Linked DNA regions of Bombyx mori. The protein of the gene in region 1 interacts with the protein of each later gene in a biochemical or structural test. Links are inferred from orthologs where the notes say so. Each region holds a gene or a part of one and is shown on either strand. Other genes may lie near its edges.

Region 1 (17,418 bases):
TTATAAAAATTTGAAATCTCTCATTTAGTCTGTTAGGCCTGCTCAGCGCGGAAATACTAGGAGACAAGAAGCTCCCATATTGTCTTGGCACATGTATTCTATGGCAAGTATAGTAGTGAGAGATTAGTTAGTTTTCCGGGAATTATGGATGCGCCGGCACAAGAGGTGTAACGTAGATTAAGACATATGCAGAGGTAGATAGCGGAATGACTGAGCCTCTTATACTGCCGATGTCCACGAGCGGAAATAAGCTACACGCTATCAGTTGTGCCATATACATCGAGCGCTACAAAAATAGATCAGCTCGGACTTCTACTGAACATAGTTCAAATTTTGGACAACATGGCGAAATGTAAAGACCATTGCTAATACAAACAAATATCGCAACAATTTACTGGTGGTAGGACCTCTTGTGTGTCCGCGCGGGTAGGTACCACCACCCTGCCTATTTCTGCCGTAAAGCAGTAATGCGTTTCGGTTTGAAGGGTGGGGCAGCCGTTGTAACTATACTGAGATCTTAGAACTTATATTTCAAAGTGGGTGGCGCATTTACGTTGTAGATGTCTATAGGCTCCAGTAGTACCTAAATAAATAAAGATCACAAGTTTTACTCGCAGCTTCGCGATGTCAAGGAAAAGCGTTTTTTTTTTCTAGTCTCACGTCATTTTTCTAAAGATAATAAAACAGTTTCCCGTGGGAATGACATATATTTTCAGGATAAAAATTGGCACTGCTGATCTAAAACTATCCTTTTATGACAATCCGTTGCTTCGTTTGGACGTGAAACGACACTTTGACGTTCATAATATTACATCGATATATTACCACATGGTAATAATATGTGGTAATATATCCATGTAATATTAGTTTAATATGAATTATTCTAAGGCGAAGGGAACGAACGTTGACACTTGTCTCCTTAGTCTTCCACCACTTTCCTCTATTTTTCTTACCAAATAATATTCAATTGTTAGCGTTTATTGAGCTCGTTTCATGCGAAACAAACGCCGACTGAACGACGCACCGGTGAATGAGTTGATATTAATTTGACCAACGCGATCTCCTCCCGATATGCGATTACATATTTCCGCACAATACACGTAATCAATCGCAAAAAAAAAAGGTGCGATGTGAAAGAAGTGAAACTTCTGCGTACTATTGTTCTTCATTTTTCATCCTTAAATCAAATTTCTCTTGTATAAGAGAATGCTGTGTATAAGAGAAACGACCTAGCTCGCTTTGTCATTTCCCTCTCCAGGGTCGAGTGGTTCGCGAGACGGTTTCTCTATTTTCTCAGTCTCACTCGTCCTAAATTGTATCTTTTCTCTCTAAGCGTAACGAATCTGTCGCGAGTTAAATTTTACTCTCAACGCGCCTAAAGAAGTTTCACTTCAAAAAAGTCCCTTTGCGATGGTTATTATATAATTGCACGAAAAATAATACAACAAGTGTTCATTCATTTATTCATTTATTAATTCATTTATTACGATGAGGTCGTGCTTGGTAGCCGCTGGTACAAATGAGGTCTGGTGGCGCAGCCAGGACACACGTGCAGCGTGGCCGTCACCGCGCCCTCGCACTCCCAGCAGTAGTACTCTTTACATCGGGGACAACGATGTATCTACAAACAAAAATTTATATATTCAAAAATCGACTCTATTGCTCTTAGAATAACTTCTACACACACACACGCAAGTTTTCGTCGTTAATGAATGCTCGGTATGAAAATTTTATTTTAGAAATATTAATACAATTACGTTAAAACGAAACATGTAGACTATTTACAGGAAAGGCAGATAAAAAATGTGAGACATGTAACATACCTTCTTGTCTATATCGGTGAAGGTTCTTAAGCATCCAAAACAATACTGCGCCTGGCCATCATTATCTAATTCTTCATAAGGTTCCACTGGAAACAGGTGATGGTATGATCTACAATAAGATTAGAAATTATGAAAATCGATTTACAATTACAAACACGAATAAAATTAAACCTGCAAAAAATTATAAGTTTACTATGTAAATCTGCTGCAGAGCATTTTCAAATTCAAAACTAGAATATACTTGGATGTCCTCCGGTCAGTATATCGGTGTTCAAACCACCCGGTAAGGGAAATATAGGGGGAGAAACTATAGGTCAACCATTTATTTTAGGGCCTTTTTTTTCTACGTATGCTGAAGGCCTTGAGAGACTATTTCAGCTTCACCCTGACGTGTAGGTGAGATCACGGAGCTCAAACCGGAAGTATTGCTAACACTGGCCTTAGCAATAACAGTGATTCGCATAATCTACCACCGGATCGGAAACGCGACCCACTGAGAAGATCCGGCGAGAAACTCAGTGGGCTGTGTCTGAAGGTTAATTTACCGGTGACCGGGCAGGCCCATGATCTTCTGTGCTCATCTACAGCAATATAAGACTTTATCTCGTAAAACAAATATCGTTTGAAGAAAGGGGTCGTTTGACAGATGTACCTTGCAAGATGTGGTGCTGATGCGAGTGTCAGGCCGCAGGTGCGACACTGAGCTGGCAACGAACAATACTTGGAGCGGCACTGCGGACACAGGTGACCCTCGCCGCCTATACCTTCGCCTTCCTCCAAATGACTGAACAAAAATAAGAGTTTAAAAAAAATAAAAACGATGCGCGTGCAACTTGGTGCACGTGAATGAAGTGAAGCTTCTTATTCCATGAGTAATATTGTGTTTTTTTTTCATTTCTCATCCTTAAATCAGATTGCTCTTGTAATAAGGAATGCTGTGTATAAGAGATGCGACATCTTCATCATTACATATATAGGTAAGGATATACGTATATAGGTATTTTTTTTAAATACTTCATTAAAATATTGGACGCTACTCGTTGGTAACGCCCTGGCTGTAGCAGGTATACAACGCGCAAGCGTTCGAGTGCCACGGATTCACTCTCGCTCTGTCTCTTTCTATTCCATGGTAGCGTTAAAAGTTTAACGCAAACTTGTTGGAAGTCGCATTAGAAGTTTCACTTCAAAACGTAAAGGAATAACACCGTGTAATAAAAATCAAACCCGCAAAATTATAATTTGCGTAATTACTGATGGTAGGACCTCTTGTGGGTTCGCACGGGTAGGTCCCACCACGCTGCCTATTTCTGCCGTGAAGCAGTAATGCGTTTCGGTTTCAAGGGTGGGGCAGCCGTTGTAACTACACTGAGACCTTAAAGCTCATATCTCAAGGTGGGTAGCGGCATTTACGTTGTAAATGACTATGGACTCCGGTAACCACTTAACACCAGGTGGGCTGTGAGCCACACATCTATAAAAAAAATAATAATAATAGTAATAATAAGTCCCTAAAAGCCTCTCAAAACATCTCGAGAGGCTTGGTCTCAACGAAAAGTCGGTGGTGGCCCAAATGCAAAAAGCAGTCTTGCTCGACAATGCCCGGATAGTTTGCCGGTTTCTCTCCCAATAGTCCCTAACGCTCCGGCCAATTGTTGCCCACCTCGCCGGTGTGTCTTGCCGTCTTCCCAGGCGAGGCAGTGTTTAATACACATAATAATAATAACAATAACACTCATTCCTTACCATCTTCACCATAGCCTTAAATTAATCACTCTCAAACAAAATCTCTAATTAACCCTCCAAAAAGCCGCTATTTTAAACACCTGCCGAATCGTGAGGAAGTTTATGCAGGTTGACGATAACACACCAACATTAACATCAAGCAATTAGCACTTGGCTTACGCCCGTGCTACCATGAAATTACCGGCTCCGCCGAGAAAAGTGGTCGATAAAAATAATAACACTACAGACAAACGCATTTCATGAAAGTTTAGATTTACGCTAAGCGTTTCTTTCGTTCTTTCTCAAGTTTTAAAATTTAAGCAAGACACGGAACTCACCACATACAAACAGTAATAGGTGGATCGACATTAGCCCCTGGGTCGGCTTGTTCCTCGAGCGGCGTTGAATGCGGGAAGCCCATCTTCACCAGGCCCGCGTCCAACGAGCGGGCGCGGGGCGGCGGCGACGTGTACTCTAGTAGCAGTGACTGGTAGTGACAATCGTCTAATACCACCTAAAAACATATTATGTACATCGTTAGCAAATTGGCTTACTAACAAAAAAAAAATTAAGAAGTAAATAAAAGAACTATGTATGTACTTTTGTTTTTAAACCTGAGTTTAACAGTCATGCTTTAATACCTTTTATATTGTACACTTTTCCCCTCTTATGCATCGTATTTCTCTCTGCTAATGGTTTGCTGGAAGAAAACTCATGAATGAGTTAAGCTCGCCTTTGTAGGTACATAGTATTTAGACATTCTTTTTAATCTGTTTTTATTGTATTTTCTCTTTTGTGTACAATAAGTATAAATAAAATAAATAAATACTTATTAACAAAAATATACATTTATTATTTTAAGAAAAAATATTTTTTTTTTATATTATGTACATACATAATTATTTTAGAAAAATGGTAAATAAAATATTGAGGTTATTCAATTGGTCTCGCATAATACTCTTCTACTGGAATCTCGATAAACGCACCTCCACATGCACGTACACAGAACAACAACCGCAGTCTCACAGAAAGAAATAAAGAGAAAGAGTAAAGTAGCATGGAGGACTTTTTTTCTTGCGTGATAATTTCTACAAGGCATATTCTATCACAACATCAATAACAAATTCCGTAACTATAACATTTTATATCAAATAGTGGGACAGAAAAAGAGTCCTTAGCGGCTAGTTCAAAAATAAAAGCAGTCTTAAATAAGCTCTTTTTAATAACAATGCTTACATACAAAAGCGAAACTGCGAAATTATCAATAGAGAATAGCTTACACCATAATCTCCATTAGTGTCTTGACACATTTTTTTGCAAATCCGCACTTCAGCAGCTAGACCAATAACAGAACATCTAATTCCATCTGTTTTTAGTGTCTACAAAAAGATAAAAATAATTAAATATCTAATCTAATAAATAAATATTATCTCACAGTATAGTTTATTTTAGGTTATTGAAACAAACAAAACTTTCATTGAAATACCAAGTTTTGGATTTAAAATGCTAACACAACATTATTAGTATTACTTGCCATATAAAGTGGAGAAGTCTGTCTCAATTGATCGTCAATGGCGCAGGTCACCAGTGGACATCAGCAATGCAAAGAACTTGTTAAAGCTAAACAAAAACTGAGCTTTATGGAGTGTCGTGGAACCATGTTAAATATCTTTACGGATTTCTATTTTAACAAATCTGTGGTGATCAACAAAAGTAAAATAAGGCATTTCAATAATCAAAACTGTCTTACTTCTATGGTAGTGTTTATATCACTTGGATCGCAAGTTGTAAGGGATGCGAAAAGCACTAGTAATTCTCTTGACGCGTGTCCAGGCAGAGGCCTTAGGATTCGCCCAGCCAGCTCTAGCGTATTTTGTAATGATGGCTCTCCAGTCAGCGGAGTGTTGGATAAACTGTTTAGAGAACTTTTTGTTTTATTTTTTCAAATAACTAAAAGCTTTTGTTTATATGACATATTTAATTGATTTTTCTATCATTTTTCGATAAAACTATTAATGTCAAGTTAATAAAAGTAATATATTGAAATTAATAAATACAACAATAATTTAATACTTGCCCTTGTATGGCTTTAATGTGTTTCCGGACATTTCCAGATAGGTCAGTTATTTTCTCAGCTCTCTTATTCTTCATTGCTATTAAACCAAGCTGACTGAGAGGATTCTGGTCAAAAAACTCTTCAACAAATTTCTCGAGCAACTAGAAATATACACAGATTAAACTTATTAAATAAAATTGTATTTATAGCTTCATTAGAACATGATTTCTTCTCACTAATGGGGGTACACCCTACGTCTCGCAAACATTTGTGACCATGGAGCTGTTATATCATGGCCTATGCTGTCTATCTGTGAAGAATATTAACTATGCCCATGATGAAGTTCAAACACTGTTAAATATTATTATAGTATTTACAAATTGCATGCAAAAAAAATCAGCCAGCTGACAAAACAAAGGCATAGATGGTATACAAGTAATTATAGTTATATAGATATAGAAATATGACAGAGAAACAAAATCAATTGGTTAAACACTGAAGGACTGCTTTGTAACTTTTCTGAGTAAACTACTCCAGTTGTCCGTATTGCAAAAAAGAATGGAGACATTCATCTCTATTGAAATGAACTGAATACAATTAATCAAGCTACAGAGTTAGCCAATGGCCACTGCATATGAAGTGTTAGCCATGATATCTGGATGTCAACTTCCAACCTTTATGCTTCTACTCAAATGGTAGTTACAATACAAAGACACCAGGTATATCTAATAAACTTTAAACTACTTAATAGCATACAGCTCAGCCTCTAGCAGTTTATGAAGGTAAAAGATATTTCTTTACCTTCAATGTGCACAGAAACCGTGAAGGTTTCAAATCTTGGGAGCTCATAGCCTCAGAACAATCTATGGCTAAAAGTAAATGCCTCATCATGCCAAGTCTGACTGGACCTTTACGAGGAGCAGCTGCTTTACGTGCTGCTTTCTGGGCAAATTCAGCCACCAGGCTTTCAACCAACCCATCTTCATCTTCTTTAATAGCCTCCCTACACATAAATATTTAATTTATGATTCAATAGACACATAACATATATGTTAAAAACTGTAAAACTAAAGAGTAATCAGAGTAAATTAAAGTATTATGAAGAATTTTCAAAAACAAACTTGTAATTACACTTTATTTTTATAACATATATTCATTATTTTTTAGAATATGGTGAAATCATAAGGTTAAAGTTAAAGATTTCCAGTAATTTGCTGTGTGTAGGCCTCATTGAATTTGTAATGGTGGCCCAAGATGATCGCTCGTCGTGTTTGTTAATATCTGAACAGGTTTTATTTAGTTTATCTGTAGTTTAGCAAAATAAAAAATAGGCTCTCTGTATAACTGTCATTACTGGTGGTAGGACCTCTTGAGAGTCCGCGCGGGTAGGTACCACCAACCTGCTTATTTCTGCCGTGAAGCAGTAATGCGTTTCGGCTTGAAGGGTGGGGCAGCCTAACTATACCTGAAATCTTAGAAGTTATGTCTCAAGGTGGTTGGCGCATTTACGTCGATATCTATGGGCTCCAGTAACCACTTAACATCAGATGGGCTGTGAGCTCGTCCACCCATCTAAGCAATAAAAAAAACTTAATAATAATAGACTACTTTGCAATCGCATTTGCCTGTTACCACATTACAGTATCTATCTATCATCAGCCCGCAGACGGCGACTGCTAGATATAAGCTAAGACCCGCCAAAACGACCAGTCCTGCACTGCTAAGATTTTGCAGATTCCAGCCACATTCAACAATACAGACAATAGTATGTTCTATTCAATAGTATGCATGAAAGACATTAACGAGTCTTTCAGGAAAAGGTAAAAAAATAATTTAAATTGATTCATTAACGTTAACTGTTTCTATATTTGATTTTTAATAAAATGGAAGTTCGCTTTGAAAGGTTAGCCTTGTGTATTTACAAACAAATAAACGTAAATAAATAAACATAATAACAATACAACTATAAATTTTCTAACCAAGTTTTTTCATAACCAGTTTCCCATCGATACTCTTTAGGGTCATCTTCATCAGCCATTATTAATTATTTACTAAAATTTAAAGTTTAAAATCAACTTTTATTTGCATTTCAAGGTTTATCAATCAAGTGCTAGGTGCTAGGTATGTATGTTTTTTAAGGGGTTTTATGACCTGGTAACTAAGACCTTTAAGTCATGTCTTATTTTAATTGAAATTCTTATTTTTATGAAAAATGTTAATATGGAGTGAATGAAATGAAATGAAGATAATTAATTTGAGACATTAATCAACTGGGATGAAATTAAATGAAATGTAATCTCAGTAAAATGGTGGTCATTTATTGAGATTTTTTCAGTGGACTTTTTGGAGGATCCCGAGAAGTTACATCCAGCGACTTTGTTCTATTTTCCCACATTTGTGCACTTTCACAGATATTAAACAGTTAATAAACCACCATTATTACACATTTCAACCCGAAGAAACACTAAATAGACCAAATAAAACAAATCACACAACTTCAGTCCTCGCGTTCCAGCTAAAAAGTCTAGGTATGTATGTCCATGGAGTTCCAATTACGAAGTCCCATTTAACAGATATCAAATACTAGTAAATACCGCTTTATTCGATACTCGACGATATTGATCTTCGATTACTTTAACGAACAAATTAAAATCGTATTGACAGAAAAAGGATTAGCATCCAATAATAAAACTTTGTTTTTTAAATTTAGTTAGATAATATTACATGATATTTTTATCAAGATGGAACTTATTCATCATCAATAGCCGAAATCGATATTTCTATACAGGCGTTTTTTTTTATCCTACCTAAGCTGATAGCCTTGAGATGCTATTTCAGCGTCGCCTTAGCTAGTAGGTGAGCTCATGGGGCTCAAGCCTGATGACGTTGCTAATACGAACCCTAGCAAGAGCCGTGCTTCGCAGAATCTACCGCCGGATCGGAAACGCGACCCACTGAGAAGATCCGGCGAGAAACTCAGTGGGCTGATCTAAGGTTTAATTTACTCGTCGAGCCCTTCGTCGCAAGCGACGGGTTCGACGAGAACGGTGACCGGTGCTTGAGTAAAAGCACCGTTAGTGGATCGGGAAAATCCGAAATGACGTGTTTGGGGCGACGTCGACTGCTTTCCATTCTTTCCGCAGGATCGGGAATGTAGTTACCGGCGGCCACGATGAGAGGGTTCTCGTGTCGTGCCGCTTTATCGAAGTGGCGCATCGACGCCGACTGCAAATACTTATTGATGGACTCTAAGGCCAGGTCGTCATGGAGGTCGACGTTCCTGACGAACCACGGGGCTCCGACGGGTATCCCGCAAAAACGGGATTGAATAACTTGGAATGATTTTAAGCGAGTGCGGGCCGCGTGAGCGAACACTACACTTGCATGACGGGGCGTATGCAAGTTTTGTAGAGCGTCACCTTATTTCTAAGGGACATTTTACTTCGCCTGCATATCATCGAGTAGAGGCGTCCTAGTGTGAAGGCGGGGGCGGAATGTCACCCTCGACAGAAGGATACCTAGTCGGGAGTGGGATTCAGGCGATAAAAACACAAGGTATTTATTATAATTTGGTTATCTATGATGGTATCGATATGTGTGTCTCTGTTCCAATCAGCGAAAAACTAATTTTTTGTTCGTAAAACCTAACCTTCCTAATTCGCGGCAGTAGCACTATCACAAGCTTTTTGCAACAATGACAGCATTTTGTTTGCAGTAAATGGTGGGCTCAGTGGTGGATTTACACTAGGGGCAGTCGCGTAGTCGGGGCAAGTGCCCAGTGCGGCAATTTTTTAGGGCGGCAAAATTTTGGAAGTAAAATTTTTGAAATTAATTCTATTAATTAATCATTTTCTGTTTAATTGATAATACAAAAAATTGAATTCATCCATTATTTGTGAATTATAATTTTGGCACTTTAGGTAAAAATTCATAATCAAAATTATTTAGTCAATTTATTTCCTTGAACATTTAAAATAATAATCGATTTTTCCATTTTCTGGACTTAAAGAAATTTAATTTTTTTTTTCATTTAATATTTATGAGTCACCCTTAGTGCAAAATTTATAATTGTTAGAAAAAAAACAAATATTTATTTATGTTTTTGGAATATATAACATATGATAAAGTTTCTGCAAGAAATTACTTATTTAATTTTGAAAAAAATAGTTATAAACTATAATTTTTGGTAAAATTCCAGTATTGGGGCGGATTTTTTGCCCAGGAGCGGAGTCTAAATCCGGCCCTAAGTGGGTCGATATTTTTACGAGCCGCAATCTAAAATAAAGGTTTACGTGTTAATATAGCAACAGATAAAATATTAAAATAGGTAAAAATAAATTATTAAATACATTTATTTAAATCCTTACCTTTAATTTGCGCCCAAATAGATTCTATGGCATTGCATTGACAATAGTAGGGTGGAAGGCGCATTACATTGTGTCCGGCTTCCTTAGCCATTTCGTCCAATACCTATTTTGGTCTTACAATTTTCGTTAACACGGAGTCATTCCTAAGTCGCAAAAGTAATTTTAATTGTGGTATCTTCATTTGCAAAAAAAGATAAAAGAGAGATTAATTGCATTTTAAAAACAGCTCATAAATATTTGTGTAATTTTTTTGAAACATTTAATTAGACTGAATTTCGGCTATCGTCGTAATTAAGACCCGTTTTTACTGCTAAAATTAAATTAATATTAAATGTCAACAGCAACACTATTAACTTCCTACAGCAGAAAAGAAAAAAAAGTGAATCGATTATTTTCATTTTTTATCTGTAGTCTATACTACAATTTTGTCGACCGCTCTGAAATTAAGGGACGCTATTTCGCGCTTTTTCATTTATTTTTATTGTAATTTCGTTCTAGTTTTAGCTCGATTATAAGTAAAATCTATCGCCCAACATTAAGAATAGCCCTTGATTGAAGCTCGGCTCATAAATCGAGTTATTTTTGTAGAAAATGTCAGGGATAGCAAGTGCACGTTTAGCTGAAGAACGGAAAGCTTGGCGTAAGGACCATCCCTTTGTAAGTTTTTGTTTGTTGAAAACACATTGATTTATGTTTTCGTAAATAAATAAGCTATTCATCTATTTCAGGGTTTTGTCGCGAGGCCTATGAAGAATCCAGATGGTTCATTGAATTTAATGACTTGGGAATGTGCGATACCTGGTAAAAAGGGGGTTAGTATTTCTATATCGTGAAAACTTCTTGTTTCTTATTGATGCAGTTTTAAAGTTATTGAGTTTAAGCATAGTAAATTACGGTAGTAGAAGTTCTAAAACTATAACCGGTTTTTCTTTTTAGACTCCATGGGAAGGTGGGCTGTATAAACTACGTATGATCTTCAAAGATGATTATCCATCAAGTCCTCCAAAATGCAAATTTGAACCACCACTGTTCCACCCCAATGTGTATCCATCAGGTACGGTGTGCTTGTCACTGCTTGATGAAGAAAAAGATTGGCGTCCAGCAATCACAATAAAGCAAATTTTGTTGGGTATTCAAGATCTTCTCAATGAGCCTAACGTAAAAGATCCAGCGCAAGCTGAAGCCTACACAATTTATTGGTAAGTTAAACATAAACATTTTCAATACCCGTATTGCATTTAAAGAACTGTTATGTTTTATAATGTTTAATTTTGTAAAAATTGAATTTTTTTGTAATATATGTATTTGTTATATTACTGAAAATATATCACGAAACTATCCACATATTGTGATACTAATATTTAATTACTGTGACCTACAAAACTTGTATGCCTCAATATTAAATAAAATTTTATTGTTACAGTCAAAATCGGCTAGAGTATGACAAGCGAGTAAGAGCGCAGGCACGTGCAATGGCTGCTGCTGAGTAAATATCAGAATGGGACAATGGAGCGTTAATGAGCTAAGCCATTGCCTAAAAAGCAGTATAAATGTGAAGACAGGAGATTAAAACAGCAACACTACGCTATTTTGGAGATTGTGCTATAACATTATCTTCATGGTATTTTCCAGTTCCAAAAGTATTTAATCCACACAGTACGCAGTGATGGTTTAAACTATAGATTTAAGTAATTTTGAAGTAAATGCAAGTTTTTAATAACAGACCAAATCAACACTATGCTAATGTTAGTTATTTTAATTCTGGAAAATTTTGAAGCCATTATGAATTCATCATTTTATGGCTAACTTGTATTTATTTATTTGTTAAGTTAATAACAGAAATGTTAACAAGCAAAAAGCATCAAAGATTTTAATTACAACCGAATATACAAACATGTTGCTGTAATTCTCAAAATATACGGTTACATTTCGAATCTATGTTATTTTAAAATATTTTTGTATCTTATGTTAGACTTAATGAACAATAAATATTTAAATTCTACAATTTACTGTGTATTTTTAAGTTAAAATTTTTTCAGATTATTTTCACAATCATTCACTATTCAAAGTCAGCGCTTTCTAATCAGCCGTTCAGAGTAACTATTTGGAAAACAAATAATTCATAACTTTATTTATTTATCAAAATGGTTAGTTGACATCAGATATTTCATTTCACATGCTGATATTCATTAAAGTTGGGAGTTAAACAAATATTTGTTTTATTCCAGCTTAAACGCAATCATTATTTAGTTTGATGACAGATATAATTAAAAATTAGCTACAAAAACCTCCATCTAGTAGTGAATAGGCACCTCAAAATACAAAAGGTGAGAGACAGGCGAACTATACGATCACGACCCAACTAGTTTTAAGTAATAACTGAAACTATTTAATATGGTATTTTCTATTATTAGAACCCATTGAACTTGCCAAATAATGCCAGGACTAACTTAGAGATATGAGTTCGAAGACTTGATTTTGTTATACGAGTTTAAGGGACGCCCACCCCATAGATTATACACTTAATAACCCATTTTCAAATCAACAACCAATTAGTCCTTTTCCGCAATTTCGAATATGCGACGGTCCCTCAACATATCGCCGCGCACTAAAATGCAGTTTTCTAGACAGTGTGGGTCAACGAACTCGCAGCCTACCTGGTGTTAATTGGTCATCGGAGCCCATAGACATGAACATCGTAAATGCTACTACCCACTTTCAGACATGAGTACTGTCGTAAAAAGTACCCTTTGAATCGTAATGCATTATTGCTTCTCGGCAGAATTAGGCGGGGTGGTGGTATCTACCTGTGAGGGCTCACAAGACGCCCTACCCACAATCCACAAGTAATTACGCAAATTATATTTTTTGCGAGTTTGATATTATTATACGATGTTAATCCTCTTCATCGAGGAAGCCAATCGTGAACATTTTTGAAATAAGTTTTTCATCAGAAAAATTGGTACCGCATACGGTCGTATTATCCCGCAGGCCATGACGACTTTAAAATTATAAAAAATGACCAGCTATACGTAGCTGACGACATAGAGCCTGACAAATTATAATAAATACATAAAAAATTATGGTTGACGCTCGCCTAGTGCCCACCAGTCAAATACCTACAGTCCGCGCGCGAGCTCCGAGGATTCGTGGGCTGAGGAAGCGGGCGGGCGTGCACCGCGCCCGACCGTCGCTTCATACCCCGCACTCTCCCACTACTAGTGTCGACCTTAACATGAGAGTGCGCTTACTGACTCGTTGTTTTTAATTTTGCGATAGCAATGTTAATTACGTGTGTTTTTAGTATAGTCTTACACTTATAAGTATTGTTGTTTGCAAGCTATATAATTTGATGAGAAAGGAATGGCGAGCACTAGCATAATAACCATGTCTTAGTATTAGAGGAATATTACTAGCAAAAGGATGGCTTAATGGAGGATGTTGTCGAATCATTTATTATTGAAGTACGTGAGGAGAGTGACATCAAGAGGAGAGTACATCAAATTCTTCAACTACTGATTAATCTGATTGCGAGAGTAATTAATAAGATTTCACGTTCATTTTGTTCAATAAGTATCAGTTCATTAAATTAAATTCATACGTGATCAGTTGTTTTTTTTTATTTTATTTCAAGTACATAATACCCTCATAAAACTATTTTATAATTTACACTCGCACGGAGGCTTAAGATGTGTTAGTATCGATAGCGCAATATCGACTAATTACAACACTAGCTCATTACGTCAACATTCCTTAAAAATCCTCGGAGCTCGCGCGCGGACTGTATTTTGTTAAATTTTATGTCATGTTTTTACCGAAATATATTTTATTATTTTAATATATTTACATAGTAAATTTGTTGTAATTAATGTGCATTGTAATTGTTTCTGTAATAAGCAATTATATTGACTTTTTTACACAAAAAGTAACAAAATTTTGTTTATACTGTGGAACGGAACGTGAAATGACGCATTTATTTATGGCGTCTTTTTATCTGTCTCTGTAATAAACTAACTTTTTATATAAATTTTAAATATAAAACAGTAAAATTGCTCGTGTTTTGGAAATAAAACTGCAAACATATTCGAAAAATATCGAAAACCGAATCAGAGCACCCACATTCCACCTGGTCTTGTCTGCCCTACCCCTAGAGTGTATATAAAAAACCGGAGACGCGGAGGGATAATGGTGCAGGGGGTAAACTCTTACCCCCCTCCCTCGCCCCACCCCCACCCCGACCCAAAAATCGACGGACCCAAAAGGAAAGTTTAAGCCTATTTTCAAATATAAGTAAATTTAAACAAGATTTTTTGCTGAAGTGAAAACACCGCCATGACAACGTCGATGACAGTATACTGTACTGTAAACATAGACCTATATAGTAGGGACACGACATATTGTTCTATACGTACAATTGCTTATATAAATAGCACCCATTTTGAAGGCACATATATAAACATATATCTATCTCGTTTTTACTCAGCACTTTAACTCGCAGGAAAACAATATAACAGTATTTCAGTGCGTACATAAAATGAAACATGAATATACGTAAATATCTCCGTCACCGTCTAATGAGGCCGAAAATCCGCCATGTTTAGCGCGCCAAATGTCATTGTCACGTCAGTTCGGCCGTCTGTTTTGGGTTGTACATTATTTATTGACTTTGATATCGATTTAATATGATTGATTATATAAAATTTCATAATTTATTATGCTTAAAACATACAAAAATAATAATTAAAACGTATTTTATAGGATCTCAAGAAAGTCGATGCCCTAAAACTATTATCTATATGTATTTAAATTCATTATGGAGCCCTCATCCGAAAAATCCATTTTTCGGTCGGAATCTATTGATCATGACACTAATCATAAATACCACTTTAAAATATGTCATCAAAACATATTTAGACATTCTGTTTAGATATTTCGGGAAAAAGGCTACCGACAAAATCTCTTCGGAACTATTTAAATAAAATAGTTTTATTCCGCAGTGAGTAAAACACTATTGTAAATTTGTTAAATATTTAATAATTAAATGATTTTAGAGAGGAAGTCACAAGGAATGACGTTTTTAATTAATGAATAAATGTTCTGTAGGTGTTTTTTTTTTCACGCGGTCCCTTGATAAGTTTAAAATTTGAATCACTCTTAAGCGAAAGTGATTCAAATGGTGCGGCGCACCTTCCTTGGGGTGCGCTGCGGTAGTATGTTACAGACTTTAGAGTCAGCAAAACAATTAAAATAGATTGTAATAGTCTAAGAAAAACACGTACTTAAAATACGATAACATTTAGCATGCTAGAAATGGGCTGATGGCTTTGAACTACGCCATATCTTTATGTTTTGCGACAAACGACAATTTTATAAAATCAGTGTAGCAACTTTTAAAAATCATTATATCGTTTACTTGGCAAATTCGAAGGACGAACTTGTCTTTGATTTGACCCATCTAAATCATATCATATTTGCACATAACAATACACCTACTTACTTCCCATTAAAGTATAAATTCTACAAATAAGTAATACTCAACAATATTTAAAATAAAATGAGCCAAGATCGTTTATCGATAAAACCTGATAACATTGAAATCTTTTGTACAGCACTAAAGCCGCCATGTTTTGTGGCCAGATGACGTCACACTGGCGCGAATTTTTGGTTGACGTTTCATTTCCATAGGTTTCCTACTTCATTGACTGTAAAGGAACGGCTTGGCAGTATACTAATTTGACGTCACACTTTACAGTGCTCGCAGTGCAAATCGGAACATACCAGAAGTGTAACAGCTTATGGCGCTGTTTTTAAAATCTTTCCACTTGTTACTATGGCGCCATCTTAATTTGCTGCCCTTCAGTGGACACTTTTTAATATACTGAGATGGTTCTCCTTGCCTCTACCCTCCATAATTCAACAACATAATACCTCATTTTATCCAAAAAAAAAATATCCAAAAAATAAAAAATAAATGTTTGGGGTGGACAACCCTTATCACTTAGGTGTATGAAAAATAGATAGTAGATGATTCTCAGACCTACTGAGCATACTATTGATACACAAATAAAACCAAAAAACATGGCTGGCAAGCTACGATTGATACACAAATAAAACCAACAAAACATGGCTGAAAAATGTATAGTGAGTAAGACAGGAGACCGGCTTCGTCCTCATCCCTACTACGTGATGTTTGCTGGATGAGTGTTGAACAAAACACAAAGTTGTGAACAATTTTTTTTGTAAAGATGATTACATTATTTGTTTACACCTTGGCCTATCATGGCCTTGGTCTTCGACACATTTTATCAAGGTACCGACATGTTATGGCTGCAGGTTTATTCCAGATTCGTCTAATAATCCGCTGCATTTTGTAACAAGTATGAACGCTGAAGAAATAAAAATATTATTACGTTGTCCATTTTTCTGCCAAAGATGTGATTATGCTTTATACCACGGGCTCCCAAACTTATTTCGTCTATTGCCCACTTTGAGAATAAATTATTTTTTAGCGCCCCCATTTTATCACCTACTTATAGACCACTATAGCGAGAGCTCAGTCGGTATCTAAGAGTCCTCCTAGATAAAATTACAAATCGCCTCCCAAGCTTCTACACAGTGCCCCCAAAATTTAAAAAAAAAAATAACTACAAAACTTCTTTACTGTGATTTTAAAACAAAGTTGTGGGCAAATGGTAGGTAACGTAACATTTTGCTGTAAATGTTAACATTATTTTTATAGACACGTAAAATGATGATTATGTCACCCTATTGAAATGCATAAAAGTTGACGAAATTGATTTGGTGTTTTAATTGACGTAATTGATAGACGGTAACAAAATAAGAATATTTCTGCGCCTTTGGTATATTTCTACACATTCCTCAACTTTATTACAAATTAAACCTCACAATAAACCTCATATTCAAAATCTTTAGACTCCAATCTACAAATGAAAACAAAAAAAATAGTTTAACATTTTTATTTTAGTACATTATCCTATTGATGATGCAATTAGTTTGAGAAATGCTTGAGAAATGTTTAAGAAATTATTTTGAGAAATGATACATCAAACTTAATTGAAAATAGATCTAGGGTCAAATGAATCTAGAAAAGTCGGTCAATATTGACGGCTAAATTATCATGTCGGTGTTGCTGGTCGCCTTTGTGTGAACTTGAAGTGCGTTCTGTCGTGACAATTTTTTCTGATCTATTTCATTGGTTGAAATATACGGTTTTATCTTGCTATTGGTGTTTAAGAGATACCATTTGCAAAGAAAACGTGCGTTGTCGGCTAATCACTAGATGGCGTAGCGTATGTGTCGGTGAAAGGGTTTTTTTGGTCATTGAATTTTCAATTCTTGGTGTGATTTGTAGCATTTCGCGTTGCATGTGAAGATTATTTTTGTGAAATTGTTTTGGTAGGTAGGTAATGTTGTGACATTTCATTAAATA
Region 2 (17,269 bases), on another chromosome or scaffold:
GGTAAGATTAATACAACTGAAAATATAATAAAATGAATATTAAGTTTTCAAATATAAACAAATTTAAACAATATTTTTTGTTGAAGTGAAAACATCCTCAAAAACGTTGATTACTGTACATTGTACTGAGTTTCGTTTTAAACATTATCCAATGTAGAAATCCTTAAAGGAACGGCTTCGCAGTATACCTACTTTAATAAATTGACGGTGACTTACAGTAATACAGAGTAGTTACTTAATTAAATTGACTTACAGTGCTCACAGAATAGCCTAATGTCTACTAGGAACATGGGAGGAGTCCGGTGAATTCCCGAATGAAGAGATTACAGGGTTAGAGGCGAATGAGAGATGATTGTTGAAGCGACATCAATACCTTTACCCGCTCCAGATGGCTATACTTGATAGGCTCTATTGCAGAAAGAAAATATGGTATTAATTACGAAGTCGATTGAAACAAATATTTAATTAGTTTTATTTATTTTTCTATAAAATACACATACAACTTGTAAATAAACGATTCCATACTTATAATCTATTATGTAATAGTTTTCTTTTCTAAATACATACTGCAGTGTCCACGACAATAAATAGGTTCACACGGGACGATTAATCTAAGCCATCGGAATAACAGGGCTCACGTTATTAACTACCAACAGTCTGAATTTCACACAAAATAATGTGGTTTTCAAATGAGCCATATTCCTATTTTTATGACGTTTACCTAGAATGTGTTTCGATATTTTAAAATTGTTTCATTACTTACACTTATTATACCGAAATAAAAGAATATAAACAGCTTGTTTTTAACTGAAATAAAAACAGAAATTAACAAGACTACAAAGCTTAAATTGATTTCTTGACAACAAATACTATCGTTGGAAAAAAATTCTTTGAATAGGTACTCTACAAGGGTTGCTTACACCATTAGCAGATGATGACATGAATAAACGATTGATATGTAGTACCTACTTATCTACATACACGCTTACCTAATATTGTTTAAAAACATCGAATGACCAAATGAAAGAATGAAAATAGATAGCACAAGCCCCTTTGGCGTTACAACATCGAATGGAACTTCAAGTCCTATAGGACAAAATCTACACTACAATAACTAACATCAAGTACCTGTAGGGTTAATTCTAGCACGTGGACCATAATGAAAACTCGACAATTAATAAGTAGTAGATTATTCGTCTAATAGGCCTATTGTAATAACAACATGAACATAAATGCTACTTTTGGCTCAATGGTCCATTTATGTAAAACACATTTTCATAGGGTATTCATATAGGTATTTACGAAGCTTTGGCACTTAACCGTAGTATATTATTAGAACATCTTTTTGTACAACTTATCGCCATTTGAATCTAGTCATATGGCTAATGTAGTACATACGAACTAGGATTATATCATTAAATTGAACAAATTAAAAATGAAACTGTGTAATCTCGTCGCGGATCACGGAAATTGTATCCGAAACGTCTGAAATAATTAGAAAATAAAAAATGTGAGGTTAAAACGAAAACTGAAGAAAATGTTAAGTTGAACAAATTAGGTAGGTACATAATCATACATACAACCATAACTGTGGCTTTCAAAAAACAAATCTTTTAACTGTGAATTAGTAAATTGAAGGCAGGCCTGTTTTTTATATTTCACTCTCGGAAAGTATTCGAGAGTCCTGAGATTTATGGGTTTTATAATTATTGTGTGACTATCAACAAACCGGTTGTTATTCAATGTAAATTAGAAATACATATAATCGAACAAAACCCGGTTCGGTGTGTTGCCTTAATCACGATACCTTTTGCGTCATGTTATTTAATAAAGATGTTCCCAGTAATGTAACAATGGCAGGAGCCCTTTTATCCTACTGCCTAACGCCTCCAAGAGGTTAAGGACAGCTCTAATTAAAAGTAAATGTTCGAAATGAATCTTCACTAGTCCTGTGCAACTTAAGTATTAAATAGTAACTAGGTATGTATATAATGAAATGAAAATATTGACGAGCTACATTTATTCACGTTTTATCTAATTTAACATCCGAACATCATAAGACTGTGTTACAACCCTAACTAACTATCTATAGACACATTTATTGATTTAAACACAACATCAATATTATTTAATAATTATATTAGGTACATACTTAAGTTATGGCGGATATTTTTACGGATTTTGTTAAGTTGATGCTTGCATTTTTGAAAATAACGGATTAAAACGGGAAGACACACGTAAATTTCATATTTTTATCATAAGCTCGACCAATAAACAATGGTTAAAATTTGCATGGAATATTTTGACTGTTTTAGTCTAGTCTAATATGTTTCTAGCCATAAATGAACAATAATTTATATAAGCATTGAGCTATCAGGTTCTTAAATTTATTAGCTCAATGATTATAACAAACAAATTTATATTACAATATTTATTATCGTCTTATTAATGTTTCTTTCGTGCCTTTGACGGCATTCTTAACATTTCCATTATTTAAGGATTTCATTATTTGGTTCCACATTTAACAGTCACTATGAAAATATACATACATAATACACTTTAATTAAATCTATCTTAGACTCACATTTCACGCAAATTAAAAAAGAATCACTCCTTAGTAAATCTTTGCTGAGCACAAAAAAGAAAAGCACACATGGCCATTTGCATGTGAATCATCTATAAGTAAATGAACTAAAACAGTAATTATGTATTTGATTCATTTAGGGGAATATTAGAATGATCTTCAGATCTATACCTACCGTTTACTATTCGCGTCAGTAATATTATCTGCAACAAATGATTGGATAGGTACTGGTGGTTGAACTGGTGGTAGGACCTCTAGTGAGTCCGCACGGGTAGGAGGTACCACCACCCCACCTATTTCTGCCGTGAAGCCATAAAGCGTTTCGGTTTGGAGGGTGGGGCAACCTTTGTACTGTAAAAAAAGAAACCTTAGAACTCATATTTCAAGGTGGGTGACGGCATTTACGTTGTAGATGTCTATGGGCTCCGGTAACCACTTAACACCAATGGGTGGGTTGTGAGCTAATGCACCAATCTAAGCAATAAAAAAAAGGGGTCGTGAACTCGTCCACCCAACTATGTAATAAAAAAATATGTATGAAAACCTATTTTTATAAATTAAATCTTCTAAATGCTTACACTGCGTTTGGTATTAACATGTCGACATGTTTCAGTTTTCTATTACTATTTTCCAACAATATTATACTACGAGGCAAAGGGTACGTATTAGGTTCTTTGTTTTTTTTGCAATTGAGGCGAGGACGAAAGAATCCTTGTGTTAAGTGGTTGCCGGAGCTCATGGACATCGTTAATGCCACTAATACTTAAAAATCAAACGGATCCATAACAGAAATACTGACAGTTTCGCCGCAGAAGTATGCAGATGGTCTTTTCTACCCTTGCCGGTTCGCAAACGTCCTAAAACTAAAACCAGTGAATTATTAATAGTGGTCGATGTACTTAATAATTAAACAAAGATTGGCTATATAAATTTCGTATGTTATATTAGTAGACATTCAAATTTGTCACCATATTCGTAAACAGAAAGAGGGTACGGTATACCCACTTAGTTCATATTTAGGTATTTTATAAATGGCAGTGTTAGGATCTTGCGTTTTCGGTCTATCGATATATTAGACTACTATAGTTTTAGGTAGGTAAGTAGGTACATTACACGAGATGGCTTGAAGTTTGAAGGAATAAGTATCAAAGAAATTGATCGTATACTAAACTCTATGAAAAATGGCCGGACTGATTTGAAATAATGGGAAAAATATGTAAATCTTTAATATTAAATCATTGAATAAGTATTCTCTTTAGTAAATGTTTTTTTTAATGATTTAACTTTTCATATAGCTCAGATTTTTTAATTACAGTAGAACAGAGGAGCCCACGGCCGATCTGGTATTAAATTGTTAGCAGAGTCGTTTGTTTATTTATTGTAACATTCAAAACACCACTCACCTTGAGACGTGAGGTAGATGTCTCTTCAAATTGAGTAAGAGAGGCAAAAATAGGCAAGTTGGTGACACCGCTCATGCATATTTGCTTTTACTTTTAGGAATCGATTATTAGGTTAATAAAATAAAGTTACTACTGTATTTTTTGACTGAGCTGTAAACGGTACAAATATTATTAAAATGAATAGAGGCAGGCAGGAGAATCGACTGAATGTGGGTAAAGGCTTGGGTCTACGGGTACTTTATTTTGTATAGTAAGTTCTATGGGGAATGTTCTGACAAAACTATTTGAGCCGATCCCGTGATATCCACTCACACAACACGCTACTGGACTAAAGTACTTCCTTATTTCTTGGAGAGTTGCATTGTTTCAGAAAGCAATTCAAGACTTCAATGATGCTCAGTGGAATGAGCCCCTTTGGTGTGTTCCAAAAGCTACCACTTGTCCTTGTTCGAACAAGGTTTAGTTTTACTTGTTTTAGTAATAAGTGCCTTAGCTGTGACTCTGGCATTGTTGATGTCCACGAGCGGCGATGACTACTCATCATCAATTAGGCTGTGGGTAAACTGGAGAAATATTAGTATGTATCTAATGAAATGACAGTTTTTTTACGCTTTCTTATTTGAGCAGAATTTTAGATGGTTAATTAAGATTTGATACAGTGAATTATTTGTACGTTACAAAAATTAGTAGTTGAAAAAGTTTTACAAGATTTTAACATAATTATTATAGCCGTAAATATGCATGCGTTTAGATCATTCAAATCTAGAATGAGAATACACTAGTTAGTATTCAGTGCCTACGACACGAGTACAAACACTATAATTTAATTGGAATCTTAGATAAAAGAGGTCTTACTACGAGATTACGATAGAGTATAATTATTAAATGATAAGTAGGTAAGTAAATAGATTTATTATGTTTTTTTTATGAGTATGGTAAAGGAGCACGGCGGGCCGGTCGTGCGCCAGTCGCGGGTTGTCAGAAGTTGCTGTCAAAGACACCCATTGATCTGGAAATTTCTTCGTCGCGTAGGCAGCAATCCAGAAATTCGTCCAATGTTAGCACACCATCGCGATTCAGATCCATTTTCTGTAACGTAAAACGTTTTTTATGAAAGATTTGAAATAGGTAATAAAGTGTTCTTCCAATTTTACAACAACGATTGATCAGAAACGATAAATTTTAACAAACATTATATGAGTTGGTTACATATACCCATTGTTTTTTTTTTAATATTCACTGAATCAACATGCAGGCAGGTTGTAGAGTGCTTAAATATACTTGTAGCATTACCTTATTAGTAACTTATTGCTTAAAAATATAATAAGAAATAATATTCACCTGGAATAGTCTTTCAACTTTATCTCTAACTACGTCGTCATCGACGATGGGTTCAACGATCTTGCCCATGAGATCGTATATCGCTGAAACAATTTCTGTCATCTCTTCTTTGGTAATGTAACCGTCGCCGTTAATATCATATAAAGAGAAAGTCCATCGCAGCTTTTCTTCCAAAGTTCCCCTCGACAGGATCGATAATCCAGTCACAAACTCCTGCAATTAACACAGATTTGATTAGAACTTTTTTAATTATCTTGTTTCAAGCTGTCTACTAAGTAGAACTCTGCTTTAGGTATGTATTTATTAATATTTATTAACATTGTGTTTATTAGTGTTCATGTATACGGGAATACAAACATGTTAATATATTTCCTTCTAATAGTTAATATATACACGTTTTTATTATTTTTATTGCTTAGTTTGTTGGACGAGCTCACAGCCCACGTGGTGTTAAGTGATTACTGGAGCCCATAGACATCTACCACATAAATGCCACCACGCACCTTGAGATACAAGTTCTAAGGTCTCAGTATAGTTACAACGGCTGCCTCACCCTTCAAACCGAAACGCAACGTGGTTCTAGTTCGGCATCATTTGTTTCTCACCTCAAAACTTAACAATCCACTTCTGTCTTGGTCCAATGTGTTGAATACATAGTGCGCGTATTGGGCGGTATTAGCTGAAAAGAAGATCATCATTAAAATTAGATTTGTAATCTAAGGTTGGTGATTATTGACAGAGGACTTTGTTTATAAAAATATAACTTTTATAAAAAAAATGTAAATCCAACCAAGGACTCTCTCTGTCCACCTGCTGTTAACTGGCTATTGGAGGCCATGGACACCATAGCCAAAATGCTGCTTATCTGATTTTCATTTTGAGATAAGATTAAAACCATGGTACAGTAGCTATTCATACTTTGAAACCGGAATCATGTCGCGGCAGAAATAGGCAAGAAGATGGAATCCGTGCGGGCGTGCAACATGCCCTACCTAGGTAATTCGCAAGTAGGGACTAGGGGAGAAAAAAGTTGAGAATAATATGAATATGGGTGGATGATAAGGAAGCAGTCATTCAGGGAAGCCAAGGTTAAATAGGTACCTATACCTACGTATTTTCCGATTATTAGTTAATATTTTTATGATTAGGCACAAGATCCACTGACCAGAAATAACAAGAACACAATTTGGATTGCGAATAAAAATGTTTACGTTCATTTATGTTGTTATGTTATGTATGTTGATAGAACTCAGTGTATGATGTAAAATAAATGTACCCACTGACAAAGCTAATGCGCGATTCGATAGTATTTCTACGATACACAAAACTCCTAATACCTACCTAAGCTGAGGTAAATGTTAAAAAATCGGTTGAACAATTATGTAACAATTGTAATGCTACAGTTAATATAGTACTTAGGTACTACGTATAAGAATACTATAATAGATACATAATATATGTATTCTTGATTTATTTTATCTGGGCGCCTGATAAATTAACAGATCATTTTTTTTCTGTACAGAAAATAGACTGACTGCAATTCTTGATTTATTTTATCTGGGCGCCTGATAAATTAACAGATCATTTTTTTCTGTACAGAAAATAGACTGACTGCAATATTATTACGTACCTACCAATGAAAGTAGAATAGAATAACTAACAATGATATGGAGTTTATTTTTCAAAATTATTTAGTTTTTCGTTTTAAGTATAGACTATAGGTACAATATGATTTCTTCATTGAGTTAGATTAGGCTGACAGTGTGATAAATAGTACATTGTTTCGCATTTACCCTCCTTGGCAATAATAAAGCTGCGGTCGGCAAAATATCAGAATAGAAATTAATTGGAGTCAGGTTACTAAATAAGGTAAGCTAAGGAGCTAGCTGTCACAACGGAACTATGCTGGAGAAGTAATGTCGAGATTAAATTTTTTTTTATTATTTTTTGTTAGACTATTATTCATAATTAAATCTACCTGTCCTGGTGAAACTGGAAAGGCCTCCGGGCCACCAGTAATACTTCATTAAAAAAAAAAAAAATCTAGATCAGGCGGCAGTATTCCGCGACCATTTGTCTTGTTTAATTTTTTTTATTAATTTCATGAAGGTATGCTTACGTGGTGACACATCACATGTATACTATTTCCTTGATTTAAATATAATTCTTTCAAATTATTTTACTATAACATAAACATGAAACACTTCTTTGAGATCGATCGACCAAAATATTTCACATAAACTGCATTTTGTAGTAGTTAAGTTTTTTCGTGAGGGCACAAAAGAAGCCGCTTCGACTAATCATGAAAAGATACAGGTAGTTAAAACGACTTTTACGTGTCTTATGTGGCCACGAAAACTGTAAAGTATAGGAAACGTCGGAAAAAATGTAACCATAATGCATAAAATGAAATATTGAAAGTAGTTTTAATTATATCTACGACTTGTGAAAGCAAATAGGCGACACAGGCTTCGGAACTGTTTCTGCTGCCGTATTACATGTGAGCACATTCCCAGCGGCACCCTTCTATCGTGCAGCAATTTTGTTTCGATTAAAAAGGTACGATGCAGTTTTTTAAATAAAATTTACCGATTGCGGCTACATGACACTCCAGTAAATTCATAATACCAACTGGGCAGATTAGACCGGCTTTTCATTTTAAATGCACTTATGTAAATTATGAAGTCATCATTGCTGGTGACTCATTCATACCTATTATTCATGATGATTAAATAGGTTTTTTTTAAACGATTTTTATCTAGTCGCATTTGCTGTATTGGTGTTTATGTGATGTAAGCAGATTGCATTGGAACGTTTTACACGAGACGGGGCAGCAGGCATGACCACATGCTGATCCAGCTTGTGATAAACGAGTTAAAAGATTCAGCAATAAAGGAAAAAATAAATGAAACAGAAGAATAATACATATTACATTTATTTTGTTTCAGATATCGTTGGTTACAGAACTGATGTCGAAATGGACATAGGCCCAATAAATTAGATACCATAATAGGCTAGGTTTGCATTTGCTTTATTACTGCAGCACTACAACAGTCTTGCCTTCGTAGACGTGTCAACTAAACATATCACAATGGAATTGTTGAAGTTACCTACAGCATTTGGTATACTTATAATTTACCTTACCACAAGTTATTTGAGACGCATAATGCTTTGCGTAGCTCGGCTATGCTATTATGTGTCACAAAATTACTTCCTAACACTTTTACAGATACAAATGATGTTTCTTTAAAATTAACTTAAGGTTAGAGCTTGAGACGGGTACACCTCATTGATTTTGACCCATTGGAGATGGTCAATCCTTAAGATTATTAAATTTACACTAGGGACACTCCTCCGGTCTGCTGTTGGTAAACCTCTATTGTGTCGCCCTCTTCCATCTCAAGTGATGTTGGAGTGTCATTCTCATTTATTGGTTGCCCATCAAATCTGAATCGCACTACCTGCATTGATAGACCCTGAAAAACAAAATGATTATTTGTGTAAGACGTCACATAAAATCAGCATTGTTGTTCTTACTACTTAATAAACTAATATCAATGTACGCTTTAACCAATAGATATGAAATAAAAAGTCCGTTATGATTTTGCTATTGAGAATGTGTTTAAATGGGAAAAGACAAAACAGTTCTTGTTACTAATTTTAGGTTAATGTAACATCTATTGACAATATTTTCTTTTATCAATGTAAATATTTGGAAAAGTTAGTTCCTTGTCGATTTTCATTAACAAGACAAAATTTATTTTAATGCAATTTAAATCTTGAGGTATCCGTCGCTAGTCGAATTTCGATCATTGGGTGAACGAAGTTTATAAAAAATAAACGAAAAATCCAATTGACATGATATATAATATTAAGTATTAATTATGATGGGCATCTTATTTGTAATAGTTTACGATTTGAAAATAATTGTAAGTAAATCGATTCACAGAAAACAGGTAGTATTGGTTTTAGTTTAAAAAAACCGTCGTCTTTGTCTAAATTATAAATCGATTTTACTCAAGATGTAGGTTAAGTAGGTACTTCAATAATAAATATGTAATTTACTTACTGCTCTATCACAATAAGCATTCATCAATTTCCTGAGAGGTGTGTGTTTCTTTATTTTGAATTGTACAATTGCGTTATCTTGACCTAATACTTTCAGATTAATGTGTTCGTTTTCTCCCTGAAAAATAAGTTAGCAATTCAATAAGTTATGCCGTGAAAGAGATTTAGTTGTAATTTGAAGATATAACCACACTTTAAGATGTCGCCATGTCGGTATCGAATGTTTTGTTTTATACACTGATAATACGCAATGCACACATACCTTCTTTTCATCAGCCATTTTGAGATTAATGTGGTTCTAGAAACTATTAATACAAAACTGTGAATTGACAAACTGATTTGGTATCTGTTTTCACAAACGAACGCGTAAATGACAGCTTGTGCGATGGCGTGGTAATGGCGTCCGGTCGTAGCTTGGCGGAAAAGGTACAGTGCTGCCAACATTTCACGGTGCAAATGGCGCGCTTCTGCGCAATGAGAGCGTCGAAATGGACTTATAAGCTGCTTGTCGGAATTAAAAGATATCAGAATATCTAGGATTATAAAGGATTGTTATAAAAAAAATATTTAATTTTCAAGTTTCGTCTACAATCCTGTTCTTGTTGTTCCTATTGATTCATAGAAGCATTTTACAGTTTTATTTCTGTAACTAGATTATTTCAATAATAGTACATTAATAATTTCAATACTTTATACTAAACGTAGCTTAAAATCTAGTTAAAAAGCCAATTAATCAATATAACTGCATGTACCAACCTTTCAACAAAAGCTGTTTCCGTTGATAGTGTTGTATCTCTCGATAGATTTTAACGGAAATCGCTAGGGAGGGGAAAAGTCGGTAATTACGTTCCGTTACACGCTTTTTTTATATTCTAAACAGCCAAGATTAAACATCAAATACACATATATTGGTAATATATTGGTTAGTCAAATTATTACCTCTGACTATGACGAAAAAGCATGGGGTAAAATTTGATTATGATTCTTCGAAGTTGTATGTTTCATTATTTCAGTGTAGGAACAAAAAGGGACCAGTGTGCTTAGTGCCAGTTTCTTAACGTTCTCGATAGCGTAAAAGTTAATTCAAATTTGTATGGAATTGGAGCTTTTGCCTACGTTTGCAGCTAGAGGCGCTGTTCCAACTGCATACAAATTGGTGTTAACTTTTACGCTATCGAGAACGTTAAAAAACTCGCACTAAGCACACTGGATCCAAGATTATTATTATACTTGCTGAACTTGGAGAAAAGTTCGATGTAAAACTTAGCTCATCACATCAGCTCACTGATTTTCTCAATTATTTCAGCGGCTCGCGATTCCGATCCGGTGGTTGAGGCACATACGAAGTAGCTACCATCGACCTCTTTGGTCTTCTTCGGGAGCGCTTGAGCAGTTTGATACAAACTCCACCCTTCCTGTTTGAACCTGAATTCGTCCACCCGCCAAAAATAGGGTAACTAACAACGTACTCTCTATTTCCACGATTCAAAGAACAGGAAAACAGATTATACTGATTGTATATCTCATATAGCATTAATGCGGAACTAACTTTTTTTATTACTTAGGTGGGTGGATGAGATCACGGCCCACCTGATGTTAAGTGGTCACCGGGGCTCATAGATATCTACAATGTAAATGCCACCACCTACCTTGAGATATGGGTTCTAAGGTTTCAGTTTTACAGTACAACGGCTGCTCCACCCTTCAAAGCGAAATTACTGCTTCATGGCAGAAATAGGCAGAGTGATGGTATCCGTGCGGACTCACAGGACGTCCTACTACCAGTAATTACGCAAATTATTATTTTTCGGGTTTGATTTTTAATACACGCGGAAGTCAATCGTGAGCATTTGTTAAGTACGAATTTCATTACAAAAATTGATACCTGCCAGCGGGATTCGAACATCGTTACACCAGCCTACCACCACAGCGTTACTACCACCACATACGAATCCACCAGACGTCTTATTCTTTAGGCCACAACGATTTCATAAGCTCCATAGCTCTTATTAAGTTAATTCAAAAGTTTGATGTCAGGTAAAGTAATATTAAACGAGATTTTAAAGGTCATCGTCAGGTATCGTTAGAGTCTAAGATCACTCAGATTTTAGGGTTGGACTGTCTATAATTTCCCCTTGGCTTACGACCTATTCCAACTGGTAACAAAGCCTACTCATATTTATATGTCTATCATCAGGGAGTTCTGAAAACGGTATCACGATTATGAGACAGTAAGAACGTGGCTCTCATGTACCGTCGTACGTTGGTAGTATATACTATGACAAAACCTTTGTCTAAAGTACTAACCGGCCCATAGATACAGCCCACTGAGTTTCTCGCCGGATCTTCTCAGTGGGTCGTGATTCCGATCCGGTGGTAGATTCTGCGAAGCACTGCTCCTGCTAGGGCTAGTGTTAGCAAATTCTCTCAGATTGAGTCCGTGAGTTCACGTACGCGTTCGGGCGTAGCTAGAATAGCCTCTTATGTTACTAGCGAATAGGTAGGAGTACCAACAGAAATTGTACGAAGTTTAACACAAAGGGATAAAAGACGCAGGAGGGTAGGGAGAGAAAAAAAGAGACAAAAATACCAACATTTTTGTTAGTAAAAGGAAACTTTACCACCAAATTAAATTAATCTTTATAAATTGTGATATCATTACAATTGTTTTCGCTTTATAAGATTTCAGTGTCTTAATAAAAAAAAAAAGCTTACAAACAACCAAACGGTTGCTCATTTACATTTCAACACGTGAGTACGGCTCTCGTTGCTGTTAATAAAATGGACATTTTTCAAACATGTGGTTTTTATGGGCAACGATTGTTGTTCCCGTGCAATGTTTGTGTTGCGCGTGCAGATTTGTAGACCATCGTCGTACTGGGTTCGCAGCGATAACAACCGGGCCAGTTGCGAATAATTGCTAAACCGACGAATAATTCTTTTTGGTACAGATTTAAAATATGTACGGACGTGATTCGTTTTCCGAAGCATGTCGAATAATAATTCGTTCGTTTTAGAGGGTTTTTGAGATTTACGGCATAATTTGGTTTTGGTCTTGTTCCTACAGTTGAAATAATAAGATACTACCCTACCATAAATAGAAAAATAAAAGTATTTACTACATTTAATGAAATGCCTGGTTCATTAAAAACGAAATGTTGCTGTCAAGTTTACCGTTCGTTTTTGAGTTACGAGGATAGGAACTTTACTAAAGTTCCGATCTTTTTTACATCAACTAAATTGTCAACTAAGTAGTCATTAAACTACTGATCGAAACACTCTAGCGACCCTGTTCGGTTTTTGTTATTACCAATATATGAAAATTATTATTTAAATTATATCAAGGTTTTTTTTTACACATGCTGATATATACATTTATTCTCAAAGACTCAGTCGTTGACTTTAACTTTTTTAGGAACACGACACTATTTTAGGAATACAAAAACCGAAATTCGCATATATTATTCGTACTATTTTCATTTTCCGTAACCCTCACATCTATAAGTAAGAAGCTAATCATAGCCCATGGAGATCTTAAATGGTTACCGGAGTCCATAGACAGCATTAGCATAAATACGGCCACTCACCTTGAGAAATGATTTCTAAGTCTCAGTTCTATAAGTATAATGGCTGCTCCACCCTTCAAACCGTAAAGCATCACTGCTTCGCAGCAGAAATAGGGTGGTAGGATCTACCCGTGCAGGCTTACAAGACGCCCAACTAATAGTAAATATAGACACGATTTTGACATATGATTTGTAGAGCATATAAATCGTACCATACTGAATACGAAGAACTCACACCATCCCACTTTTTATATTATCGTCCAGGTCGGACCCTCACAATTTCCAATACGCCTCTAAAACACTGATATAGTCATTAAGGAGGTAGAGGTTGAGTTAGCTTCCCTACAATCATAAAGTTTTTTATTGCTTAGGTAGGTGAATGAGCTCACGGCCCACCTGATGTTAAGTGGTTACCTGAACCCACAGACATCTACAACATAAATGCCGCCACGTACCTTGAGATAAATAGTTCTAAGTTCACCGTTTTTATAGTACAACGGCTGTCCCACCCTTTAAGCCGAAACGCATTACTGCTTCACGGCAGAAATATAATGCTTTTCAAATAAGAATGTGCATGGACCTGCGCCATATTGTGACGTCATAGCTGTCAAATCGAAAAAAATAGTTGAAGTCAGTAAAAAAAGGTCGGAATTTTTAAATATTTATTCATAATCCAAATTTTCGAGTTTGCCGATTCCACTGATCCCACTGCTTGAGAAATTATGATCATCATCTTCGCCCATCCATAGATTATACGGCCCGACAGTGTTGCAGCCTTAATTTTTATATAGGTGTATTTTTTAAATATAATCTAAATTTATTTTTAATTTACCTCGACCAGTACTCAACATTTCAAGGAAATTATATAGGTGTGTATGGTTCATTAAAACAAACATATTAATTATCAATTGCGGTAGGCAGCAGCTTGGCTCTGCCCCTGGCATTGCTGAAGTCCATGGGCGACGGTAACCACTCACCATCAGGTGGGCCGTATGCTCGTCTGCCTACAAGAGCAATAAAAAAAAAATGTGTGCGTGTACTAGTGTACACACGTAAGAAGTGAAACTTGTTTATGGCCTTATTTTTCGAAAAATGATCTACATGCAACTTTCTAGAAATTGGTTAAATAAAGTTAAATTAGATAAAGTTTAAACAAAAGGATTTTATTATCATAGACATGAATACAAAAAAGTTAAATTAGATAAAGTTTAAACAAAAGGATTTTATTATCATAGACATGAATACAAAACAGATGGCGCGTAACGGAAAAAAGTGACGCGAAACCGAAAAATGTGACGGTAAATTTTTTTCCAACGCCGATAAGGAAGTTTCACTTCAATAAATAAATAAATAATTAGTCCACATAATTATGCAGAAAATTCACTAAACATAAGATTTTTTTTGTTCCTATTCAAATATTTTTACAGCTCAAGGTCATTGACGTGCACATTCTTATTTGAAACGCACTACAGGCAGTGTGGTGGTACCTATCCGCGCGAACTAACAACAAATCCTACCACTAGTTACAAAAAAAAAACTATCTACCATGTCTAGCTAGCTCCTAGATCTGCTCTTGCTCAGTATACATCTACCAGTCACTGCTTTAGCCTTCTTCGACGATGACGCGGTTGTTTTTATTCTAGTAGCAATAAGTCCTTTAACGTGACCAAACTTCCGATCGCTGGCCGAAACCAAAACTCATCACCGTCCTCGTCGAGAACTCGACGTGACATTTAGCCCATAGCATCAACATTTTGTGAATTAGGCGTGTCTGACTATAAAACCTCATTTTGTATCTTCTGTCAAATGGCCGAATAAGCTTATGGCATGATAAGTTGCTGTCGAAGCTTATACATAAAAATGTGATCTACGTATCTGGTAATTTATATATATGATTTATATAATATGTCTGGCGTAAAGAACGTTTGTAAATTAAATTTAACCGATTTAAAAAATGGGGAGGCTATTAACGCGATAGTATTTTTTTATTATGTTGTTTTTTACCTCAGAACGTTTTTATTGGTGAACCGATACTGATCATTAGTTTTTAATCAAATTAAAATCAATCAAATTCTGGTGATTTTCATGTGTTTTTTGAGTTATCTTTAATAATGCATATTTAATTGAGTTCGACTGTGTTGATGCCAATCTTATTTCATTTTGTTGATGTCAGTTTTGTTTTTTCTTATTATTTTGTATTATCATATTTTAGCGTTTAAGGTATACTTATTACTTAACCCTTATTCAAGACAATTAAATAGTGAATACAGAGAAGAAATAAAATAAGCTTGCTTCCAAATAGAATTTCGAAGCCATTATCCTCAGTATTTCGATGTATTCCGGTGCATTGAGCGCTCACTATTATGCGCCGATGCAGGTAAAATATCGGCCAGAAAATAAAACCCTACGTTGCCCTGAATACGCGGCTATGTAAATACACAATACGTTATTGGAAAATAACGAGAAGACGTAATATATTTTTAACGATCCAGTATTAAAAACCTTCTGGAATCGTGATAATGATGCGGCTTCTCTCCTATACCTAATGTATCAGACTCAATATGAATTACAATGAGGATTTCAGATATAGATACTATCTACTGCATTAGCATTGACTATTTTAATTGCTGTGCAGTAAATAATAAGGATGGATGATAGTATTTAAATTTGAAATCTAACAGAAACGATGTACTTTTTTACTAGGTATAGTAAGAAGTAGACATCACCTGTCACCCTAAGATGTGGAGTCGAAGTGTCAATTGCATAGATATAAGGCTTATGAATACCAAAAACCAGAATGGACTGTTACGCGGCAAAAAATAAGTAGGTTTGATAGATAAACTTTCGCCTTCGAGCTCACTGTACGCCTCCTACCAGTATTTTTTTTCGGTCATGAGGAAATTGCTGGTCTTCCGCCTATGGGTTGAGTGTAGGTAGAGCATGTCGGAGTTGAATCGACTAAAACCTCCTATCGCTTGACGGTTCAAGGAACAGAACATGGGGACACTCTTGGAGGCGCTCGAAGCGGAACCCATTGGGGAGCCCGTATAGGCTGGTGTGCGGCAAGCTGCACCCATGACCGGGTCGGCCGCTGGCTGTGAGCGGCAGGAGTTTTTGGTGAGGTTCAACTCCCACATACCCCATCCGCCGGTCGAGGATCCGGTGATTTTCCGCGGTACAAAAAAAAAAATTGCACAACAACTCGCGTCAGAACCTCGCTTAGAACACCACTAGTGTGTTACTGTATTTTTAAGATGCATATTGTGAAGATGAGCACATTAACAAGTATAAAGCTTTCTTTTTAATAATCTAGTTGGAAATCAAATATTTCTGTCGACAACCCTGCTCGGCTTTCCGGAGCCTACTTAACTTGATGGGGTTATATTATTATGATTATGTGATGCGTTTTTCATGTCCCCATTTCATTCTTTGAGTACGGTCGGCATATTTTATTAGCTTTGTACCCGGGGACACCTTTGACCTTACCTGGTTTATATTTGGTTAAGACAATAGGATTAATTGAATTGGATTTTAGAACAATTTTGAGACTAATACAGAATATTGATTAACCAATGCATTTTAGAACAATTTTGACTCTAATATATAATAGAAGATTGTATATTAATTAACCAATGTGTTATTGCAACTTGTAGAACGTGTGATTTAAAAAGAAACTAAAACATTTATTTCAGTACAGAAACTTAAATATACCAAAAAAAATCTCATTTTCAGTAAGTCAGCCGTTAGTCTAAGATTGTCTCATTGAAGGTAACCAGTTGTGATGCCTAGTCTTCGATAATTGCTTAAAACTGGACCAATATTGTTCTAGTTTGCCAATAAAGAATCTACCAGTAATGTAATTTTGAAGGGAAAGTCACACGAATCTATGATAAATCTGTTGATAACAAGATCATTTTATATTGATGTCCTATTTGTAACTTACAGATTAAAGTTTTAATTATGAGAAATTTTATAATCCTCCTCCATGAGTCGCATTCCTCATGTCTGAGAGTCGTGGCCATCTCCTCCCATTGCGTAATTACTGTTGGTAGGACATCTTGTGAGTCCGCACGGATAGGTACCACCACCCTGCCTATTTCTACCGTGAAGCAGTATTGCGTTTCGGTTTGAAGGGTGGAGCAGCCGTTGCAACTATACTGAGACCTTAGAACTTATATCTCAAGGTGGGTGGCGCATTTACGTTGTAGATGTTTATGGGTTTCAGTAACCACATAACACAACAAAAAAATCCTTCTCTGGATGACGTTTCGCCATCTTCCTCTATTCTCGGCGGTGTGTATGCCATT

What was found.
Region 2: of the proteins of ubiquitin-conjugating enzyme E2 (region 1) and Smt3, one has a biochemical effect on the other in vitro, tested with the Drosophila melanogaster proteins (2 studies listed by BioGRID). The link is inferred for Bombyx mori from reciprocal best matches to the Drosophila melanogaster genes lwr and Sumo.

What each region holds. Positions count from the first base shown.
Region 1 is NC_085114.1:7,022,619-7,040,036, forward strand, and holds ubiquitin-conjugating enzyme E2, read left to right. Parts: upstream 1-10,392; 5' UTR 10,393-10,559; coding exon 10,560-10,625; intron 10,626-10,696; coding exon 10,697-10,780; intron 10,781-10,904; coding exon 10,905-11,167; intron 11,168-11,391; coding exon 11,392-11,458; 3' UTR 11,459-11,969; downstream 11,970-17,418. Other genes in the region: general transcription factor IIH subunit 2, read right to left, coding at 1,484-1,621, 1,824-1,932, 2,476-2,607, 3,884-4,059, 4,826-4,924, 5,296-5,458, 5,623-5,762, 6,403-6,604 and 1 more.
Region 2 is NC_085129.1:12,055,573-12,072,841, reverse strand, and holds Smt3 (ubiquitin-like protein SMT3), read right to left. Parts: upstream 9,803-17,269; 5' UTR 9,677-9,802; coding exon 9,659-9,676; intron 9,515-9,658; coding exon 9,398-9,514; intron 8,805-9,397; coding exon 8,664-8,804; 3' UTR 8,248-8,663; downstream 1-8,247.